Linked DNA regions of Oreochromis niloticus. The protein of the gene in region 2 interacts with the protein of the main gene of each other region in a pairwise test. Links are inferred from orthologs where the notes say so. Each region holds a gene or a part of one and is shown on either strand. Other genes may lie near its edges. The genes, in order: cacfd1, promethin and gad2.

Region 1 (7,630 bases), on a different chromosome or scaffold from region 2:
TAACCAACACACAGTGTTGCCTGAAAAGAGGTCATTTGGTATTATGTTTACTGCTTTTTCACCTCTGAACTGTCCTTTAAACTATCTACCTGTGTGGCATGTGAATATTACAAAAGTGCGACAGTAATGGGACTTACACCATCCACACTCCAGCAGCAATGTTTAGAGGGTTCACAGTGACACAGTTCCACACTCCTGAGATGGCACAGGCTGCATGATTTGGACAGGACAAAACACAAAGCAAAGGGCTGTTATTATGATACCACAGACAGCAGATCATTGCATGATAGAGAAAATAATCCGTCCCATACATCCGGCTGAAGCTGTTAATACAGTTCAGCCACTTCTGTGTCGAAAAATGGGAAAGTTGTCATGTGTAAGCTGCTTAGTGACGTGGAAAATATGGAACATACGAATGCAAAAGGACAACAAACACAGAAGAGCTCTCATGAGCGCTACAACTGTGCTCTGCGTTTGTTCTGAAACAAATAAACGAAAATCAAATAAACCGTTCAAATACAGCACGCCTATCTCGATGAAAGGGCGATTATGAAACAAGGCCTGGCCCAGAGATTAATTACACAGAACAAATTTGACAGAAGTCAGGTCAAAAATCAAAGCAGACTGCCTTTTTTATGTACAAGAGAATTAGTTTCAGAGTGTTTTAATAATAACTGCATCATAACTGAGGCTGCGTTCCTCTTTTTGGCTATCATTTGTTTGAAACCTTTCAATCCTTTCGCTCGCAGCATTTCTCCCACAGTGATTATGATAGACAACATCTACACAGTGTGAGGAAGATTTTCCACTGCTAAGGAGCAGAAGGTCCACTATTGTATGTAAAAAACTAAATATGTGTACAGCAGAAAAATGAGACAGACCAAAAGCTCAGTAGAAAACAGACGGCTGGTGATGGTGAGTTCAAAAGCTGTGTAAAGAAGTCATGTCTACTTCCTACATGTGGGGATTTCTGGCAGGCTCTAATGTAGCCAACTTGGCACCTCACACATCACGGATGTGTGTGAAATAAAGCAATTAACACAGAAAATAAACTAATGGTGTAAATTACTGCCAGTTTGATTCACACTAATGTAATGCAGTCAACTATAAACACAAGAAGTGCTATCTAGATACATGATATCCATGTAGAACAGAACAGGTAAAGTTTTGGGGTTGGCTATTATTATATCTTCAGTCTGCTGTGTGTGCTTGCATGTATCCACTACATTGAAATTACTTCCATAACTTCATTTCACATGTGAACTCCACAGCTATTAAAAACAATGATATATCTGAAAAAAAAATCTCACTGCTTCTAAATCTGATGGTAAATATTGTATTAAGTATTAAATAGTATTGAGGATTGGATTTTGCAGAAACGGGGAAAAAAGAGCTGGCAAAAAAACAAAACAAGAAACCCCCCAAAACAGAAATCCAAAAGGTTATTTGCCAATAGTTAATGTTACAAATAAAAATGATAAAGCTGTAAAATTTTGTTTTAGATAATTTTATAAATCTTAAATTGTAATTTACTTCCATCCTAAAAGTTTATGTATATTTTATTAGCATTTGCTGTATCAATTAATCATAAACAAACACATTCCAGTTAAAGATATTTTTGAAATGTAAAAAAACATCTTGCACAAAATCGTAAAAACCCTTGAGTTCAGAATACCAATTCATGTCTGCACAGAGTTGTATTTTTAGGGTGGTGTCGAGAGTATTCAAGTCTTGCAGTTTTCACCACTGTGGTAACTAAACCAAACAACACCACAGAGCAGCTTCATGCTGAAACTCATCCACTGCACCTTCAGACCATCCAGCTTCCTTAATAATACAGAAGCCACTGAATATGGAGCTGTTAATGTGATACAGCCACTGTGACTCTGGTGTCACTGTGAAGGAGAGATGGATACAGGGAGAGGAAGGTTGGCTGCAGGGATACTGCAAAAACTGCAGCTCCAGCAGTTACATTTGAATAAATAAATAAATAAAAAGCCTCACATGAAACTCCTGAGGGGAATACCTGAGTATGTGCGTGTACATCGCGGTTCGTTTTGGCAGAACAAGCTGCTGTGGCATGAAAAAACAAAAAACAAACAGGCGGTGCCCAGGAGCGGCTGCTGCTGCAGCGAGGGGGACAAAGCAGTGACAAAGCTTTCGTTTAGTGGCTGTGCAGTTAAATTGCGGCATATTCACAATCTAAAACAGATTTTTCGTTATGAAAATGCCATGCCATGTCACTCTGCAGCTGCCCCTCATCTGGATACTGAGGAGGTCACACACACAGTATCAATTACGGCGTAAAGATTATTCACATAGCTGTCACACAAAATAAGTAAATGTCGTGACCTGGCACACAGCAGCAGCAGTGGTCCTAGTGCACAGTCTGTGGTATTAACTAAAGCTAAGCGTGTGGTCATGGCAGGATTTGGGTTTCTGTGGACGTAACGTTATTTACTCCAGAAGTGACATAAGACTTTGACAACTACTTACATATTCCTCCCAAAACCCCAGCTATTTTGCAGAGCCATCTGTACCACCATGTCATTCCATCATCATCCGGAGCGGATTTTGTAGGCGCTGCCGTCTCTTCGGTACTCATTGTGTTTTTCTAGCTACGTTCGCTAAAGCTAACCAAAGCCAGTATTTACAAATATCAGACCACCCAACACCCAAATATGAAAATATAAATTAATGTAACAATACCCAGCAAACTAATTCCTAACTATCTTACTCCGACCTCGCGGTCCTTTCGAATAGTTTTATATCTTTTTCAGTTTATACGTCTTTTTTAAAATAAATTATTTTCTTTCCTTTGTCTGCTCCAGTTGGGGTCAGCTGCCCGATGTTACGAGGAGCTTCTACACAGGCAGTCCCAGCGAACCGGCAAGCTAACGCTAAAAAGCACCGCCACCAGCGGCCGCTAGGCGAGGATGTCGCCGCACCGCCTCATATGGCTTCAACTTCAAAATCAGTCACATAAACGAATAAACAAACACGCTGTCTTTCTGCTGTTTACTAACTGTTCACCCGCTATGTTCACGTTAATTTAGCAGCTCAGTCTTTCGCCTTATTACGTGCTCAATAGACGTAAGCGGTGCATTGTGGGAAGGTTCCGATGTACGTCACGGTTTGTTTACATCCGGGCGAATTCCTACGGGCGGGTTTGGTTGGCATTTGTACTTTATGTATGCTTGTTACAGTAGAAATACTAGCATTTCACATCCATCTGTTGGCATTTTAATAATTTTCTACTAAAGTAATCTGTTATTTTTAAGGTGTGGCATTAGGTGCTGAGAGTGTACACTCAAGACCAGCTGTTTAGTACCATTTAAGACCTCTCGCATTACCATTCATACTACGCTAAATTACATATTTAAATTACAGAAAAGCTCTTTCAATTTCTTTTTCAATATCTACTAAATAGAAATTTGTTTTTTTTTTTTTAAACATAAATGTTTCTGTAACACATTTCTTTCATTCTTTATAGTACAGGCCATGTAGAAACACTGAGATGTACCATTAACATTGAACTTCTTTTTCTCATAAGATATCTCAGGGATTTTTTAAATGTGTAATTAAATGTCTTTAGACTCAAGGGTCTGGCCCACTTTTTTTCATTCAAATAGAAATCCAAGAGACACTACTAAACCTTTAAACCACACTAAAGATGTGGGAAACATCTAGTGTTGACTACGGGAAAAACTCACAACATATCAAGTGTTTGCTCTTTACAATTGCAAGTGTCCTCTTCAGAAAGTATGAGAAAGCAAAATCATTTGATTCCAGAAACAGCCCAAGACTTTAGATTTTTAATAAATCTGTCTTTGATCACTCATGCATACACATAACACACTTCTCCCCCAACAAACAAAACAAAAAACCCACTTATGACCTCCAAACGAGCCTTACAAATAAACCTGTCCCCGTTTCTGATTTCTTGGTAGCTAACGATAGTCCTGAGTCATATGCATTAACTGTCAAATGACTCAGCATTAAAGATGGCAACCTACCTTTTCACAACAGTGTTGCTTTGTGCCTTCACATAATAATTCATTAGTCTGAGAGTTTGCACAGGTACTGTGAATTTATTTTAAACACATTTAACATAAAATATTAAAGTGTTCTTTATTGAAGATGGCATAGGCTCTGTCAATGATGCTGATGTAGTAGAAAAATAAACTTTCCTCTTGGCAATTTTGCTTCTTTAGGTGCAATGCTATGGGCTGTTGTATCTGCATTGGCGAGGACAAGCACGTTTTAATAGGCTGCTGTTCAGGGCCCTTAAATATCATATGAGTGCTTTTATAGCATCAAAGTCAACTCTGGGAAATGTCAGAGTGTTTAAATGGCCCACTCTGGCCTCACTCTGACAGTAAAGTGGACTGTAGAGGCTTTAGAGTTCTCCGGCTAGTTCTCCTCTCCAGTCCTATTGGCGCTGGTTTCCTCTTCCCTGTGGGCGTGCGACACAGCATGTCATCGAGCGTCTGCTGAGTCACCTGACCGTCTCTTTCAAGTTGAGTCACTACCTGCTCCATTTTTATCATGTGTGGCCTGCCCTGACTCCGCAAACGTAGCAAATCCACCTGAAAGGGATGACACCAAGTCAACTCTCGGGCAGATGATTTTTCTCTGAAGCTTGAATCAACAATGTGAGTAACATTTCCTCAGAGTAGCTCAGATTAATAATAACAGCACAAGGATACATCAAAATTCCTTTGGAATAGATTTTTCCAATGTTTATCGCAGAAAAAAAAAAGTGTAGAACTTTAAATGCACCACTCATCTTGTACATAAGCATTTACACTAACAACAGTTATGTAACCCTAACCAATCTCCTGGCAGCTGTGCTAGTTTTAAGTAGCTGTAGCTGTGTTTCACTTACCACCTCCTGAGAAAACTCTGGCTTTTTTACAAAAGATGGACTTTCTGGCAACATGGCTGCAGAAAGTATAGAAATAGCCTCTGCCAACGCTCCAGACATTGTTAATATTAGTACCTAAAGAACAAACAAATTACACAGAATGACAGGAAGAACTAATGCAAGAAGTAATGCACATTACATTTTACATGCTGCACCTTTACCTTAAAATTTTGGCATAATCTGCTGTCGGTGCTCATAATTTGTGAAAATAATGACTGAGCCTTTTCTAGGTCACCCTGGAAAACACACACACAGAAAATAAAATAAATGATGCTTTAAATATGTGCTACATCTCTCTTCAAGCATAAGAGGTACTGAATGTAAAACTCACTCTTCGAAGTGCTAGTGCTACAGCGAAGCAGTAAGTATGCCTCGGGATGAACTGCCCTCTGGTCTGTTCCTCTTCTATGAGCGCGATGCAGATCCGGTAGGTCTCTGCCGTATTCTGACCAACACAAAAACAGGGCATCAGTCCAAATATAAGAATAAATAAGGTTGTAATGTTAAATGAAAATAAAAGATTAAAATATCTGAAACATTACCAGCTTATAGCAGGTACCAGCTGCTAACGTGAGAGTGTCTTTGTTGAATGGTATGCCTTGGCTCCTCATGGTTCTTAGAACCTCCAAAGCATCTGCAATAGTTAAAAGTTTGCATTATTATATAAATATCATAATCACTGTGGGAGAAACCCCCCCCCCCCAAAAAAAAAAACCACAGGAGAGTTAACCTGTCACTTACTTTCAAAGGAGCCTTTCATGAACAACATGTCTATCGCTATATTAAAGGAGGTGGTGTCGTGGAAAAATCCTTTCATGCTCTGTTCAGACAGGACAAAATAAAATGTTATTAGTCAAACACTGAAGTATATGCCCAGTCTAGTTATTGTTGTAAAACTGAAGTCTGGATGTTGTACAGTTCACCTTATCCGTGATTGTAGCAAAAGCCATGCTCTCCAGACCCAACTCATAGCACAGTCTCATGAAGAGAGGACCAAATTTGAAGTCTCCATACAACAAGTTACGGTTCTCTGTGTGATACCTTATGAGAGCAAGCCAGCAATGGGTGAGTGAGGTTTGGCTGGGTTGTTTTTTGGTCATTAACAAAAATCCCTGTAAGTGAATGCTGCACGCTTACCTGTAGATGGCATCTCTGGCTATCTGCATGTCATCTGCTGACTGGCACAGGTGAAGGAGAAGCTTCAACTCATCCCGCAATATCAGCTCATTCCTTTGCAGCTTCTGACTGAATAGGTTAATATAATTCCCTGTAAAGTTAGGTTTACACAAAAAGTAAGTTTTATACGACATAAATTTGCAGAACTGTGCCAGTGACAAGAATAACTACTTCACCTTCCGATCCACTGACATGGTGAGCCACTGCCAGCTTCCTTTGCTGGAAGTCTTGTAGCTTGATAACATCTTCCGACAACAGATGCCTTTTAGCTGTAGGGTGGTTAAAATGCGTGGTTGAATCCATAATCAGTTACCACTACATGGCAATTATATACGGGCAAAAATAACAACTATACGAGAAGAAAGCCCTCACGAGTCCCTGTGATAAGGTAGCCTTGCATAGAATAACTTGCACAATACTCACATAGCCAAAGAGAACAACAGTGGCAACAGTTAAGCTTTTAAATCCAAATTCTGGTGGACTTTATTTCAAGTTCAGTATCCCCATTAGCAGCTGTACCTTGCTTTAATTCACGTGTGCCTGCTTTACAGGGTGCTAGCTGCCCCCGCTATGCAAACCACGCAGTTTTCATACTACCTTTTAAAGAGTGACAACATTTGTTGGCGACTTTTGTTTGTCTTACCTCCTATGCAGCCTTCAATCCAGCCTATCTGTAAAACACCGTAAAAAACTCCTTTAGAGGGCTCATATAATAACGACCGACAACATTTACCAAGTCTGCCCAGCGCCATATCTCCCACAGGCTGTACCATGGCAATGAAATCAAAGGGGATGTTATTGGTAATAATAAAGCAAGGTTTTAAATTAAAAAAAACAAAACAATTTCCGCCCTGGGAATTAAGCCATATTAAAATAAAACACTTAAAAATGTCAATATTTTATTTAATCTGAAAAATATAATTAGTTATTATTTTTAATTCCGTAATGTGGTATTTCCAGTTGGTATGATCCAAAATGGCACCGCTTAATGACCCGGCTCAGTTTTTTTAAGCAGGTCGAAGGAGAACAGATTTTTCATTATACATCAGAAATAATGTGATCGTCATTTAAAACGAAGCTTTAACTATATTCTTTGAATCGTGGTTTCCAGAAAGGCCACGCGAAATTTTATTACTCAACAAAACGGCATCAAACAGGAAAATGTGTTTATCTGTTAACCAGCAGGTGGTGCTGTTGTGCTACAGAACATTTCTGGTTTGGCGTCATTGCTTGGAGCAGCTACAGTGTTTGTACTGTACCCACACAGTGAGGTATAATATACACATTTTAATAATGTAAAATGCAGGGACTAAGAAAGTCAGATATGAGCTTACACTCATATGGTATTATTCTTTGTTACTATATTGCTGTTTACTGTAATAGAATAGAATAGCTTTTTATTGTCACTGTTACAAGAACAATGAAAGGCAGTTTGGCATTTCTCCATGTGTGTGAAGTACACAATAGCGTAAGTATTTACACAATAACAGACAAATTTAAATTTACACGAGAAAGATATGTAGAAGT
Region 2 (7,215 bases):
CCACGACATAGCCTTTGCAAGTAGCAGACACCGTTTCCAGCAGTTATACCTGAGTGGCTGTATCATCAAATGTGATACAGCCTAGGGAGGAATGGTCCAAAACGCCTCTCCATCACTTCAGCTTTCATAGAAAACACTGGAGGAACACTAACATAGTTTGAGCTACTCCCTTCCCCTGAGGGCGCACAAAATGAATCCACACTTGATTTGGCACAGATTTTACACAAGATGCCCTTCCCGACACAAACCTCCCATTTACGCAGGCTCGTGTGGAAGCTCGTGACCCCTCCTGAGGCTGCGTTTATGTCTTTTCCCAGAAACAAACCAGGGATCAAACAACTAATGAACATCGACAAGCTAGAGTTCACTTACTCCAGCTAAAGCCAGATAAACTCAAGATGCGACTTGGATGAAGCAAAGACCATATTATTTTTGATAATAAGAGAAATAAAGTACAGAAACGTTGATAGAATAGCGAAACATACCATACAGCGTGCACTGGGTTCAATTTACCCCAACAACGTTTAATTTGTGTTCAGTCATCAGATGCACAATATGCAGTATGGATAAACATCTTCTCAGTACATGGAGTTTGGCCTCATTATGATTGATATAAACAGCTGTGTACAGTAAATAATTACAACTGCATGTTCTACACAACATTTCTCATCATTCTTTATTTTTTGGAGGGACCCATCAGAATATTTTCACCTCTGTTTGGACAGAAGATAGCGTTCCTCTTCACACGTAACAGCAAACATAAACACATGACAGTCATTTTGGTGCATTTCACTTAACATCAAGTAGCTGTACACTGCAGCCGAACACACAAATATATCGGCATTTCCATTCTAACAAAACGTTCATCTGTAATGAAGTAGTGCATGACCTTTTTGGGGGGGATAAAGTAACACTGCAAGTGCATGAGTTCCCCCTTTTCTCTAGTTCTTGAAATGAGCCTCACATAAAGCCTCCCTCACTGGTCAATGAGCCCTCACACTGAATGTTTTTTGAGAGTTTTTAAAACTGGACGCTACAAATAAGGGATGGATAAATAACACAGGCACACTACTACACAGCTGTAAGTCTTCACACAATCAAAGGAGTGGCCATTAAATGAGTGCACGTTTAAAACGCCTCGTCATCGGCTTCACTCTTCAGATCGGAAAGCTGCCTGCGTCTTTGGCATTTGATTAAAACAAGGCTACTTGACTTAGCAAATGAGGTAGGTTCAATGTTAGTTATTCCATGGGTCTCTCTCTTTCTCCACTACAGTGAGACTACTGGAATAATAACAATATTAGGCTTAAGACATACAATAACAATGAGATCTGTTACAACAGCAGATTTCAAACAAAACACCATAGTGCACGTTCAGGAGTCTGTATCGCTGCATCGCAACCTCCCGGATTCAGCAGGGCTCACTCGAAACTTCAGGCAGGCAGAAGAAGAAAAACTAGTTGGCCTTCGAGTCTTTCTCTGTTGAAGTTTCACACTCAGTCTTCTCTCCCTCGATTACACCTTTCTGTTATCGAAGAGAAAAACAGATTAATTCCACTAAGAAAACAAATGTTTCCAATGCAAGCTACAAACTTTTTAACATTAACTGATGATATGAACATATATGGATGATTATACACTGCCATCAGGGGAATATATGCCTGTTTATGTCTAAAAAGGACCTGCTATGTTTCTCCTTATTTTCTGTTACATATAACTAGTGCAGGGTTGGACCCCCGCTTGCCTTCAGAGCTGCCTTAATTCTTCATGGCACAGATTCAACGAGGAGGTGGAAACATTCCTCACAGATTTTGGTCCATTAGCAAGAAGCTAAAGATGTGCACCTAATTAAGTGACGACTGAGTGTATATAGTTTTTATTTAATAAGTCAAAAGTTTCACATAATCTGAGAGATGAACTACTGTGATCTCTGATCTCTCAGGCAGCCAATCAGAAGAGAGTTGTCTTTAAGGGAGTTCAAAGGTTGTTTCAGACAGTGAATGAAGGTCTGATGAATGTCAGAGCTACTCTAGTAGAGCTCATGAATAATAACATTGAACTTAAAATGAGCACAATAGATCCACTTTAATTTACAACACAAACTTTGTTCCAAACAAGGCAACTAAACTCATGCTTAATTGTCAGTACGTTACCTTTGTCAGATGTGGGTAGTAACGGTTCAACAGGCTGAAGGTGGTGACATACAAAACATTAACGACGGCCGAGGCCACGATGGCGAAGAGGGCGATACCAGAGAGCACCCAGAGCAGAGCCAACCCTCCGACAAACAACAGGAATGCTGAGAGAGCAAACACAGGTGACAGGTTTGTGACTACCAGGTGGTGCGGTGTCATAAAAATACTACAGCGCAAGAGTGAGCGCACCTACCCTCACAGAAAACAAAACCCACTGCAGATATCATCGTGGTCACAACGGCAAAAGTGACAAAGAGTCCAACAGGCACTGCAGCCATGGCGCTGAACATCAGAGCTGTGAGAGCTACAAACGAGTGGCTGCTGAGGTACCGTCCAAGTCTCGTATTCAGCAACCGTGCTACCTGTAAGAGATCAGGTTTCAGTGCAGCTGGAAGACAAACCATCAGCTGATGGACACAAATTAGGGAAAACATAAAAAACTTTGACAGGTGGAGGTGTGAAGTTCTGGGTTACCCTGGGGTCATCTTGTAAGTGTTTCACCAAGGCCGTCCATCTTTTCTTCAGCTGCTCAAAGTCAGCCCCCCTCTCACTGCTGCTGGTCTGCATCTCCACACAGGTCTTTAGTGACTGAGGAGGAAAAACACACACAGTCAGTCTGGCTGCTTAAATCCCACCACTTAGCTTCCTATTTAAAAGTTACTCCGACGGCTCAACACATCCTCAGCTCAGCCCCAGTAACAATAAAAACTAGCTCAGAAACAAAATCTGGGATAAAGCTAACAACTGTTGTGAACTTCTGTTGCCGTTCACTGGACGAAAGTAACTTTCATTACACACTTTTTTAAAACATATAACACAAGTTCTGCTGTGAGGTACAAACCTTAAACTGAGTATCGACAGCTCACAACATGAGAGAGAAATCACGAATGTCCCGTGGCTGCTTAAAACACGTCCACGGAAACAACACACCCTGTTTAAAACACACATCTCCTTTCTGCTCGTCCCTCCTCCTCCTTCTTCCTCTTCACAGAAACTCAGAAACGGTTCTCGAGGTTAACGCTGCCACCCAGTGGTGGGCTCAGGTATTGCAGCTCTAGGTGGCTAGCAAGAGCAACGGAGCAAAGAAAATTTAAAATAGTATAATCTACAATAAAAGTAACCTAGGCCCATACTGAAGGCTTTGTCGTGTGAGGGAGTGCATTAAAAAATGCAATTTTATAGAGCAGTGACAAAATAATACAAAAATGAATTTAAATTAAAAAAAATAAACACTCATTACATTATAAAATGAAACTTTAGCTCTTCCCCACCCTGCACTTTCATTTGTTTTGGAGAAAACAAATGACTGATGGCCCCAAAAAGTCGATTCTGTTCATCGTTTTCAGTGGGAGAAACGTTGCAGCGTCACTCACCCAAGGGACTTGGATTCCTTTTTGGGATTTCCTTACCTGGATGACTGCACATGAATCAAGACACTTTGTGACTGATGATATCACTCTGTGACTCTGCTGCAGAATAAAATCTGGATGCAAGGATGCAGGAATCAAACATCTGGAGTGACCAAATATTTGCACTGCCCTCTAAAACCTTTTATAAAAGATTTAAATCAATTTAAATAAATGAGAAAATAAATGTGAACAATAGATTTCACTTCCAAAATAATAAACCAGCAGCAACTCCAAAATAAGCATGGCTAGTCATGTGTATTTATTTATTTCCTAATATTAGGAAAATATTTCTTTTTTTCCACAAGGAAACTTATACAGATAGGTAACCATAAGGCAGTAGAATGACGCATATAGTAATAAAATGTCCATAATGAAAACACATATAGTTTTCGTCTGACCTTAGTCAGACTCATGTTTATTTACTGCCCTCTAGTGGTAAAAATGATAACCTGCAACACCATAACAGCACTGATACAGTCATTTATATTTAAATGTAAAAACAAATAATAACTTGATAATAACATGTAATACTTTAATTGCTAATGCATTAATAATCATGTGGAGATTACGATCACTGCTTCACGTTATATTAATGCTACCTCTTATTTTGCCATTAACTGATTATTGGAACAGTGAAGTTTCGTCCCAGATTGTTCTCTTGTTCCTTTTCAGCGGTGACATTTCCTTTACTCTCAAGTATATTTCCACCTGCGCAGCTGCGTGTCTTCCCCTCCTCCTCAGACATATTATTCACTGTCATTAAATGATGCAGTCAGTAATTATGATGGATGCCGGTGCCAGCCTTCTCTGCTTCGGCTTAATTGTGCCATAAAACACAAATGGACTTAATTGAGTTGGTCACGAGGTCACGAACGATCAAGTGATTTGTTCTTGCCGTTTTGTTTTTATTGTCACGGGAGTAAAACGGAAATCAGCGAAGAATAAACGTGCATTTCTGGAAGTGTGTTTCAGTAGAAAGCAAACACAAGCAGGTGACATCATTATCAGAGGTTACTCAGCACCTCTGATGTGGAGTAACCTCAGCAAACGGTACCTTTTGAACATGCCCTCATATTGACTGCCGAGGCTTTGCAGCAGGTGCTTTATTATCAGCAGTTCCCCTGAGATCCTGCAGGGGGGGTTCCTATTTCACGTCGAGTCTGTCGGGCTGAAATGGCCCTTTAAAAATAATGACCACACTGTTTAGCTCTCAGCTCTGTGCTGCTATTAGATGGCAACAGTAAGATTTCTCTGTGAAGACTGATCGGAATATCAAATGACTGAGCTTCACCTCCGCCGCTGATTGCTTCCTCGGTAAAAGATAGCAGATATTACCACAGGTGCCCACAAATTACGTTAAGTCCCTCGAGTTTTGGACGGCATTAAATTTTTGTGAGCACATAACTGCCAGGCATGGGCGAGCGAAACGGCAGGGCGATCTGTTCTGAATTACACCAAAGAGAGACACCCCTGGGACCAGTGATGACAACTTATTTGGAGCCTTTATAGCTGCTGGCCATACTAATTAATCACGCTGTTTGGTATTGTGTACAGGGGGAAGGTTCGGTGGGAGAAAAAAAAACAGCATCCACCTCTCCAGACTGCTAAACACCGTGAACCCAGTGAACCAAGGCTTTTCAGGAGGTACACAGGAGTTACACAAGAGGAGATTATGTATGCAGTTTGTGCATCTGCACCCAAACAACAAGGGATTCCCAATAACTCAGCCTGCACCCTTCACCCCCACCCTCTGCAATCTCCTTGAATTTCAGGCTTTGATTTTTATGGCTCTTCCCCATCAGATTACACATTTCATAGTGGGAAACTCTGCAGGCTGGCTGCTGCACTGCATTCCACATAACTTCTGACTGCCAACCAATGCATGCTTCATTAACAAGACCCTGCCTGCGTGCTGGTTGTTCATCAGCACGCCCCTGTTGAACTGCATTAAGCTTCATCTTCTCCCAAAGCTGTGAAACATCTCATAGGGAGACCAGCCTCAAATCTCAGTCATCTATCAAACACTCAGTAATCAATACATCATTAAGAAACAAATGACACCTTTGAAGCAATTGACAGCCTATTTTTGCAAATCTTTAATATTGTTTTGTAGTTGAAGTCAGTTTAAACAAAGCACCCCCTTAAATTACAATTATTCCGTAACAAGCAACAGGTGAGAACTCAAACAATATTATTCTATTTACTTTTCTCTTTGGATTATCTCCTCCAATGCGTTTTGTCCCCGAGCCTGAAATTGTGCACTGCTGCGCTACATGCCATCATACAGTGTTTTGTAGTAATGCATTATTTAGGAGGAAACATGTTGAAATCAATCAAATCACCACGGCAGTGCAGCATTCATTTTTCATCACTTAGAGCTGCAGTGGGCAACAAACCTTCAAGCAGCTGCCACCTCTCTGTTTTATGTCCCCTTTCACCAGTACATTATGCTACACACCTGACCTGCTTGGATCAGTCCTCACTTACCATCTAGAATTAAAAAAAATCTAGTCTTAAATCGGAGCCAGAGGAGGTGTAGAGGTTTAATCACCTTCAAAGTACATGGTCATTACACAATGCTAGAAGGTAATTATAGGCTTTCTTTGCTCATTAGGCCAAAAACATGTTGTCTAAGTCTGCAAAATTAAAGGCACTTTGTTCAGGAGTGGTTTTTAAAAAAGATACTACACCTGGTTCAAGCACTGTGTCTTTTCAGTTTCTTATAAAACCCGTGTACTGATTTTTTATTAGGCTGAAACTACTACTGATGCTGAAATAATAAATGTCAAGCAGAACTAATGAGGGGCTTTCCCTTCTGTGACCAAAGTGACTGAAGTGAACTGCCATGCATTTCTAAAACGAACCCTCTTTCACATCTCATTTAAGATCTTTAAGTAAAATATACAACTAAAATGTGATTTAAATTAGGCAAAATCATATTATCACTTTGGCTGTGCGCTAGGTTTAATTCATATATGCTTTGCGCTGGTCAAAATAAGACATCTAAATGCAACAGAGCTGTTCTGTGGCTCTGGAGAAACAGTGAATGACATGCGTGACGAGCAGTCCGCTCTCCCTTGAGCGTAGATGAAAACTGAATGTTGTTAATATGTCCCATATACATGTGGCACGGAGATATATTTGGCTGTCTGAGAGCAAATTGACTGCACGATATGTCTACTGGCATGTGTCAGGCTGCTCAACAGATTGCAACCAAAATGTGATTGATGGGCTGTCAGCAAATTCCAATTTGCATTCACTGATTGTAAAAACTAATCACTGCGAGAGGAGGAGCGATGAAGAACCATGAAATAGTTGGAAATCTCCAGTGGTGCCCTGTTAACTGGTGCATGTCCAGCATTTTTTTAATATCATTTGTTTACTGATGTCTATCCCTTCGCTGACACACTGCAGTCGTAGCCTTCTGTGCATTATGAGAAAATGCGAGGGACCTAGTTCTTTTATTCGTCTCTGTTCAGCTTGTCCCATTCGATACCCACACCTCTCTCTCACACTTCCTCACTTTGTTCGCCTCTCTTTGAAGTTGCACAGGAGTGTTCGTCCAACAGCTGGCTGCAGGAGAACAAAATGTCTTTGGAGTCTGCCCTGTG
Region 3 (8,109 bases), on a different chromosome or scaffold from region 2:
TGTGTGTGTGGAGGGGGTGGGGGGCCGCTATCAGGCCATGCAGACGCAGAGCAGACTGCACGCGGATGGTCCGGAAATGGAATCCATTGTCATTATCATTATCACCGCTTAAAATCGCGATGAAGCAGGCCACATACTTACATATTGGTGTTGGCGGTGGATGTTAGCCAATCGGCTGCCAGTCCGACCATGTCTAATCCCGTGGAGAGCTGATTGAAGTACCTGGGGTGGGCTGAAGGGAAAGGAGCAGAGGATGGAGAAGGCAAAGAGGCGGAGTGTGAGATGGCTGCAATTTGAAGGTTTTACGCAGCAGAAGCTGTCATCTTCCGAGCGCTTTAATTGTCAACTTTAAAACAAAATCTCAGGAAGTGATGAAAACATTTGGTGTAGCATTGAGCAATGTAAAAGGTAAACACACAAAACATGTTACAGCAGTGAGACGTGATCAGATTTCAGTCTGCGTCATAAACACAGGAGTTAAAACAAAGAGTAATTTATGGGGCTGATCAAACAAAAAAAAAAGAAAAAAGAAAAAAGAAAAAAAAGGAAGGAAGGAAGATATAACTGTACTTATAAATCTGGTGCAAGTCCTTCTGTGGGCACCTAATAATTCCTAAATAATAATAATACACATTTTTTCTCATAGCAGAGGAGAATTGCTGATGATTACAATAAATGACTGAAATCCTCATATCTTTGCTTATACCCGCATTACAGTGTGATTTTAATTGTTTTTAAGGTTGTTAAATATTCATAAACTATTTTTTCAGTTTTTCTTTTTCTTTTTGGAGGCTGAAATCTGTCCTGTGGCGTTGCTGTAAATTCCCCCCCTGCGTGTGTCACTCAGGGGAGAATAATGGACTTGGCCTATGAAGCCTGGTTATTAGCCTATTATCTCCTACTTGGTGAACCAGATTTACTGCGTCACTGCATTTATCGGTCTGGTGGTCAGGAGGAGGAAAAGGAGGACAACTGTGTTGATGCTTTATAGGCGTCATTTATCATTTTATTTATTTATTTATTAAACCCGGAACACGTTAAAGACGTTTTCTTTGTTTGCCTCTCTCTTTCCGGGTCGGTTTTTTAAGCTCACCGCTTTCGTGTTTCCAGTTTAGTTTTGCAGTAAAACTAAATAATTTGTAAGGTGTAACATAAATTTCACAGTGGCGCTCTGTAATTTATCTAGCTTTCCTTTTTATTTTATTGTTAAAAATGTGTTTTTAATTTTCCATTTATATGCGTAAATATTGGAATTTTGGCAGATTTCACACAAAGATGAGCGAAAGGCCGGAATCCAGGCCTGCGTGTGATGATACAGCCTGGGGGGAGATTTTTTCCAACACTCCGACGCATCTATTTTTTTAAATAAACATATGTGTATATTAAAAAGTGAATTTATTGATTTGCATGCATGCAATAAAATCAGACCCAGGCCTACCTGTTTTGATGGCGTATTTCAGTGTAGCGCGACAGCTGATCAAGATGTCGTCCAGAGTCGCAGGTTCGTCCTGCAGCTCCCAGTTGTTCATCTGAAGCAGCTCGTTCGGATAATGAAAATCAATAACTTTCGTTTCCCGGTCGAAAGACTCCACTATGTAGGCCAGTAAAATATCCACAACTTCCTGCAGGAAGGTCATCGTTTTGGTGTCACCGTCCGTGGCCGGTAACAGGTCTGCGAGAGGAGGGTGGATTACAGTGGAGGCATTTTGTGATTTTTATTTGAGGACGGAGGAATGTGTGCAAAAAAATGCTTCCACGCAATATCAAGATTCACCTTTACACGGGTCAAAGTTTTATTTATTTTTTTGTCTTTGAAATTTTCCTCCATGCAGACAAATAAATAATTTGACATTGTTTCCACGTCCGAACACTGATTCTGTTTTATACGAAAATCTCGTGTTTTGCGCTCAACACCTCAAAACACACGATTCTGGTGAAGGTGACCTCTCGGAAATAGCCCCTCTTTGAGGAGGAAAGAACTGACCAACATAACTCCTCTCTCAGAATGTGGTAAAAATGAAAATGATGGACAAAACTATTCATCCAATACATAATGTGTTATTTTTTAAATTGAGATTAAAGCGGATAACTTCAGCCATTCATTTCTCAGGAGTTTGTGCGATCAGATGCAAATATTTGATGCACATTTTGAGATTATTTTCTTTTATAGTTAAGATGATTATATACAAATATCGCATAAAAACAAGGTCTATTTTCTAGCCTACTTCGCACAGTGAAAACTGCTCAATGTAAGGCCAAGTTTGGACTCGGGGAAGAAAATAAATCTCAAAATTAATCCAGCTTCACAGTGCACTTTCGTACCTGTTGAATAGAGGTCGGAGAAGACCACAGCAGCTTTGGTGCAGTTGCAGGATTTGTTGCAGCCGCAGGTTCCTGCAGCCGTCTGCGGCGGCTGCTTGGCGCCCGGCTCGGCAGGTTTCTCCACCTCCCCGACATTTAGCAGCGCTTTGGAAACCCACAAAAAAGAGCATCGAAATATATATTTTTATTACTCTATGGCCAGACAGTTATGATGGAAATAACTGGCACGTTTGCCTAAAAATAGCTTCCCCTCCGTCTCCACCCCCGCCCCCGCTCCTTCCCCAACATACCACATAGTTTCGATCCAATTCCTCCGGATAATTTCTGGGCCGCTGCTTGGCACCAAGCCCTGGCTGGAAGAGAGAAGGGGGATAAATCAGATAAGGGATGTGCTGGCTTCAGCTTCAGTCCAAGTTTAGGGAAACACAAAAGGCGCCATGCAACTTGGAATAAAACAGCTCTTTAGATACACGAAAAATGTCTCATGTGAAGAAAAAGAAGAAAGAAAGAAGCCAAAAAAAAAAAAAAAGCAGGATTGTTGCCTATTATAAGGCCTGTCTGGTGGTTCGCTGAATGCAGGGCACTGGCTTGAGACAACGCTCAGGAATTACTGCGCCCGGTCCGTCAGGAGGTGGTTTGAAGACAAAAAGCCACTCACGCGTACTCGGGCTCTGACTCCCGGTATTGGCCCCCGCATTATCTCCGCCAAGAGACCAGAACCCGTGTGATGCCATTGTTGCCGGTAGTTAGGAGCTGCAGGAGGCGCGGAGACCGACAGAGCCCATCCACACGCGACGACCGGGAGCTGTTCAGAGCCGATGTGGTGCTGAATCTGACCAGACCTTTCAGACTGCTTGAAATCCAGCCGTGCATCCGACAGACGCTTTAATTCGTTGGAAAGACCCTACAAATAAACCGACCCTCGTATGTGCGTGTGTGTGAGCGTGGGGTGGGTAAATAAAAATAAAAGAAATCACAAAAGGCGTCCTTGCTTCCTCCTTTGCAGGCGTCCACAGGTGCACGAAGCATGAAGCGCCGTGTCCAGAAAGAAATCCGCAAACACTTGACCGGCGCAGAGCAGCCAAGCTCTTTACTTAATAGGGGGAAAAATGCAATACAGCGCAAGATAGTTTGCGCAAGTTCCGGATGTAGTGAAATGTCTTTTGATGCAAAGCTGCTACATTATATAAAAAATGACTCAGAGAAAAACAATAAGCAAAAAGAAAAAGAAAGAAAAGCAGGAGGTGGTGAAAATGGTGGAGGGGGGGGGGGGGAAAGCAGCTATGAGGCTACAGCTGCTGGTAAATATGCGGCGCACAAGCCATGCCTAATTGCAGCCAACCTAAATTTCACGTCACTAAAGCAATCCCGTCGTGATTCACTTCAGGTCATGACGAGCCGCGCTGCGTCGTGCGTCGTGACTCCATACATCCCCGACATTTTTGGCCCCCTGCGCACAGAACTTACCCTCCATACAGACACTGAACGCCAACTAATTCATCTGCCCAGCAATCGCAGACCTATTTCTTCAGACCTCTAATTGCCCGCCTCCGGTGGAGGAGACAGCGGGGCGGAGAGGGGACTCGGTTCAAATACACAGTGCGCCTGGGTCCCTCCTCTCTCCGCTCACTCCAGGGGCGCGTTACTCCGAAAATATTTATTACTGAGAGAGGGGCTTGCTTTACTTTCTTTACTCACAAAGTGTTTTTTTTTCGTCTGATTTTGAGACATCCCCCCCCCCCCATCCAAAATAAAGTTAAGCCCGTAAATCTGCAGTTTAACTGCGTCAAAACATCCGGATATAAGGAGGAAAACAAATTGGAATAGTTAAAAATAATATTAACTCTGTTTTTCTTTGCTCTGGTATTGTGTTGTGAAGCACTGTGTGTTTGTCTGCAAAGGTGCTACAGAAATAACATTTTATTTTACTTACAGTATCTAGTTACAAATCACCACGTGGAAGTCCAACAGCGTCACCTTCCGTGTCTCCACGAATTAGTGTAAATGAACCCTGCGGGCATCAAAGCTACACTGAGCCTCATCTGCGGTGATTTATGAATGCACTGGTCAACAGTTATCTAATACCCAAAAAGACTCATTAACATAAACTGAACCCTTTAAAATGTGTAAACCCAAACTCAATGTATTATGAGATTACTCTATTGTGTCATTTCAGAGTTTCTTTCTTTGTTCAAACTTGGTGTAACATTTTGTAATAATATTTTATTTTAAATCATTTATCTGTGAATCCTGTGTGTGGAGGAAGCTGTAACAGTTTTTCTCTTGTAGTCTGCATTTTGTCAGGATTTCTTCAGCCCTACGTGTTTTTGTGCCACTGTGCACTGTGTGCAGTCAGCATGTAGCTGGGGATTCACTAACAGCCCCTGAGGGGGGCTTCTCTTTCAAAAATGTCACATAAAGGTCAGAGGTCGAATCTGGCATCAATATTCAAATAAATACATAAATAAAAAACATTCTGTCCTTCTTACTTTTCCACCAAATATTCACAAGAATCAAAGGCTGTCATTTGGGTGAATGTTATTTCATACGTAGTGATTATTGGGCACAAAGCAACAATAACGCGGGATGGGGGACAATGTGAGGAATTGATGTACTTTATGTACACAGGCAATGAAACACTGAATGTCTTTGCATTTTTCCTTCTACGTTACTCATTTTGCAGGGTAATGACAAGCTTGCGATTTCGGCTAATTTGAGAGCAGCGAACTGAAAATAATGAAACGGGACGAGGAATTTAATATATTTTTTTGTTTAAGTGAACGAACTGAACATTTGAGCAGATAAAATAATGTACATTCTTCACAATATGAAGCTGATTAGACTTCGGAATGACCTGAAATGCAAAGTTTTAAGAGCACAACCTGCAAATTCTTTGAAAGAAAATAAAGATATCGAAGAAAAAACATTGGAAATACAGAATACCAGTAACTAGACTGTTGGTCTCATAAATAAAACCTTATTTTACAGCAAGTTTAAAAGTATGACATCTTGTTATTTACATTGACTGTACTCTGTGTTCACTGTATGCATGGAAATCAAAACATTTTGTCCAGTTAAGTCCAGAGGAGTTTCATTTCTTAGTCAAACTGTTGTACAATGTGTCTGAAGATCAATAAAATAAATGAAACATCTGCTGTTGTTAGCAGGACACCAGAACACACTGCCACATGGTGCGATCAGTGATCCCGACCGATCAAGTCCCGAATAGCCAAAAGTCACTTCCTGTATTCAGTAACGTTTGATCAGCCTTTGTCGCTGCGAGGTCTTCCTCAGTAGATGTCTGAAGTCATATGGATTCTCTTCAGTCCGGCTCTCTGTGGAGGCCATTCTGGGAACAGAGCGCCTGTCGATTAAACAAAGGAGACAAATTTCAGCACAAAGAGATAAAAACAGAAATGCTGAACACAAGGTAGGACATGGGGATGTAAACAAACAAACAAACAAACAAAATTAAATGGAAAGGAGATGAAAAGATTCATGTTCAGGGTTCAAGGTTTTCATACTGGTTATCATATTTGGGCCATTTATCATGAGCTGTCCAAGGGAGCGGCCAAGCTGAAGGGAAAATAGATTAAATTCATACATGAATTTATCCTTCGAGCAAGTAGAAACTAAAATTCAAAAACCAGACTCATAAACAGAGGTGCTGGTACCTCACAAGTCCTATTATGGAGTAAGGATGTGGCCAGACTAAAACTACAAATCAAGGAGCTGATTTGTAGTCCTGATCTGAAGAATCTTTATTAATATCTTTTTGTGACAGGCAGCTGAATAGCACTGAAAAATAATGAAAAGTTGAAGTGCCAAAAGCTGCAGTTCCTCAAACAGCCACTTGAGGCAGACTGCAGTAAGTTTATGTTAAACTGAACAAGTTTCTGTAAAAATAAACATGTTTACACCCCAGTTGTTGGCTCTGAAGATAATTTAGCTCTTCATAAAAACTTTATTGTGGAGTGAAATTTTTATTATGAATCAGCAATTTAAATTTAGTCAAGGCTTAAAATTATGCATTATTATGGGTGAGACTGGTTTGAGTGACAGGTGGATGCAGGCTAGGCTGCTAATCTGTCTGCTAGGCTTCACCTCAGCTAATTAAAGTCACTGAACTGGAAGTCTTGACTGTGTTTGTGGTGTTTCTGCCTTTTGTAGCCTTTATGATGAAATTATTTGATCAGCTAAGTGATACAAACTCTCCAAGTCTACGCTTGTGATGAGTTAAAGTCTGGTATTTTATTTGCATGTTACAAAGCACTAATTAGTTGATATCTGTGCACTGTGCCTATACAATCAAGCACAATGTTAGAATTAAAGACGAGACAACTACATCACTATTTGTGAAGGAATTTCAGAATTTCTGTCTTATATCTGTGAGGTTCTGACTGGACTATGAATATAAGTAATTTATGCGAACTTCTGTTTAATGTGTAGACTGCAACAGATTAGCAACGAATGACAGCAATTTTCCTTATTATAATAAACACACTGCGTGTAATTATCTACTTGACCTCATTCAGCAGACTGACTTCATCTTATTGCCATTTTATCACCGACTTTAAAGCAGCAAAGTCACTTTGAAGAAAACAATTGACTGAGTTTTCATAGACTTGCTGTTAAGACTTTCAAAACTACAAAGTTTACTGTACACAGTTGCAATAAAATTGTAGCATGCCATGGTCTCTTATCACCATTGTCCTTACTGTAACTATAGCCTTACCAGCTAGCCAACATTAGCTGCTAGCTTAGCACTCCAGCCTCATTAAAATACGATCAGATGTGTCTCTTAAATCCAAGATGGAGCCAAAATGCTTCAGAAGTGGCTTCAGTGGGTGATATCATGGTGAGAACTTCCATCTTTCATATACAGCCTGTATAGCTTTGTCTTATTATGGTTATGTAGATAATGCTTTTCCTTCTTTCTGTAAACTAAGGTCTCACTTTAAAAATCATCTGAATTCACAGAGATTAGATTTATTTTTAAACAGTAGCAACAGTGGTAGCATTATTATGCTGAAGTAGAAACGTAACAAATTCAGTTAGCAAACATTAATAATGTAACTTGTGACTATATTTGTGAATGAGTAAAGCTGAACTTTAATAAATTGTACGTGCAGACGGTAACAAAGCGGTCAGCTGGACAAAAATCCTGAAGGCCATTACCTATCTTTCATCTGTTTCACATAATGCGAGTCAATGGAAATGATGACGAGATGGCTGGAAAAACAATCCCAAAAATGTCATAATGGGACCTCGTGGTTGGTATTGACAAAGATTAAAATGGCATCATAAAAAGTGGAAACTGATTTCCAGCTTAAAAGTGGTTCCACCTTGTTGAAGCTTATTGATGGTGCTGATTACAACATAGCTGAAAGTTATCTGTATGGGGTTGGTTCATGTTGCAGCTGCAACCTAGCTGGAGGTCTACAGTTGTTATTATTAAAAAAGCAGAAACAAGTAATTAATGCAGTCATGCACAGTTTCACAAAAATACAGGGACACTTTATAGGGCATGTACTTATTGCCAGAGACACTATGAAGAGGACATAAATGACACACCTGTTTTCTTTGGCAGATTTGGGATGCTCCGGTTCAGTGGCGGCCCTCTCTCGGATCTGTCGACTGGGAGCAGGCAGTCTCTGCTCTACAGACTGCCTCCTGTCCCCAAACTGCCTTCTATCCATAGATCGTCTCCTGTCCATGGACTGCTTCCTCTCTACGGACCGCCTCCTTTCCATTGACTGCCTCCTCCCTATAGATTGCTTCCTCTCA

What was found.
Region 1: the proteins of promethin (region 2) and cacfd1 interact in binary tests that used the Homo sapiens proteins (3 or more experiments, as listed by UniProt). The two-hybrid records come from large-scale screens. The link is inferred for Oreochromis niloticus from reciprocal best matches to the Homo sapiens genes LDAF1 and CACFD1.
Region 3: the proteins of promethin (region 2) and gad2 interact in binary tests that used the Homo sapiens proteins (3 or more experiments, as listed by UniProt). The two-hybrid records come from large-scale screens. The link is inferred for Oreochromis niloticus from reciprocal best matches to the Homo sapiens genes LDAF1 and GAD2.

The regions. Positions count from the first base shown.
Region 1 is NC_031972.2:15,730,522-15,738,151, reverse strand, and holds the start of cacfd1 (calcium channel flower homolog), read right to left. Parts: upstream 3,119-7,630; 5' UTR 2,606-3,118; coding exon 2,497-2,605; intron 211-2,496; coding exon 138-210; intron 1-137. Other genes in the region: ptcd2 (pentatricopeptide repeat-containing protein 2, mitochondrial), read right to left, coding at 4,368-4,589, 4,889-5,002, 5,089-5,163, 5,259-5,372, 5,470-5,561, 5,669-5,747, 5,851-5,968, 6,065-6,194 and 2 more. UniProt on the Homo sapiens protein: Transmembrane protein which mediates synaptic endocytosis and fitness-based cell culling.
Region 2 is NC_031969.2:19,228,879-19,236,093, forward strand, and holds promethin, read right to left. Parts: upstream 3,197-7,215; 5' UTR 3,037-3,196; intron 2,784-3,036; 5' UTR 2,763-2,783; coding exon 2,670-2,762; intron 2,558-2,669; coding exon 2,389-2,557; intron 2,300-2,388; coding exon 2,154-2,299; intron 1,526-2,153; coding exon 1,457-1,525; 3' UTR 504-1,456; downstream 1-503. UniProt on the Homo sapiens protein: Plays an important role in the formation of lipid droplets (LD) which are storage organelles at the center of lipid and energy homeostasis. In association with BSCL2/seipin, defines the sites of LD formation in the endoplasmic reticulum.
Region 3 is NC_031974.2:12,419,055-12,427,163, reverse strand, and holds the start of gad2 (glutamate decarboxylase 2), read right to left. Parts: upstream 3,057-8,109; coding exon 2,981-3,056; intron 2,676-2,980; coding exon 2,613-2,675; intron 2,467-2,612; coding exon 2,323-2,466; intron 1,673-2,322; coding exon 1,439-1,672; intron 233-1,438; coding exon 142-232; intron 1-141. Other genes in the region: myo3a (myosin-IIIa), read right to left, coding at 5,572-5,686, 7,897-8,109. UniProt on the Homo sapiens protein: Catalyzes the production of GABA.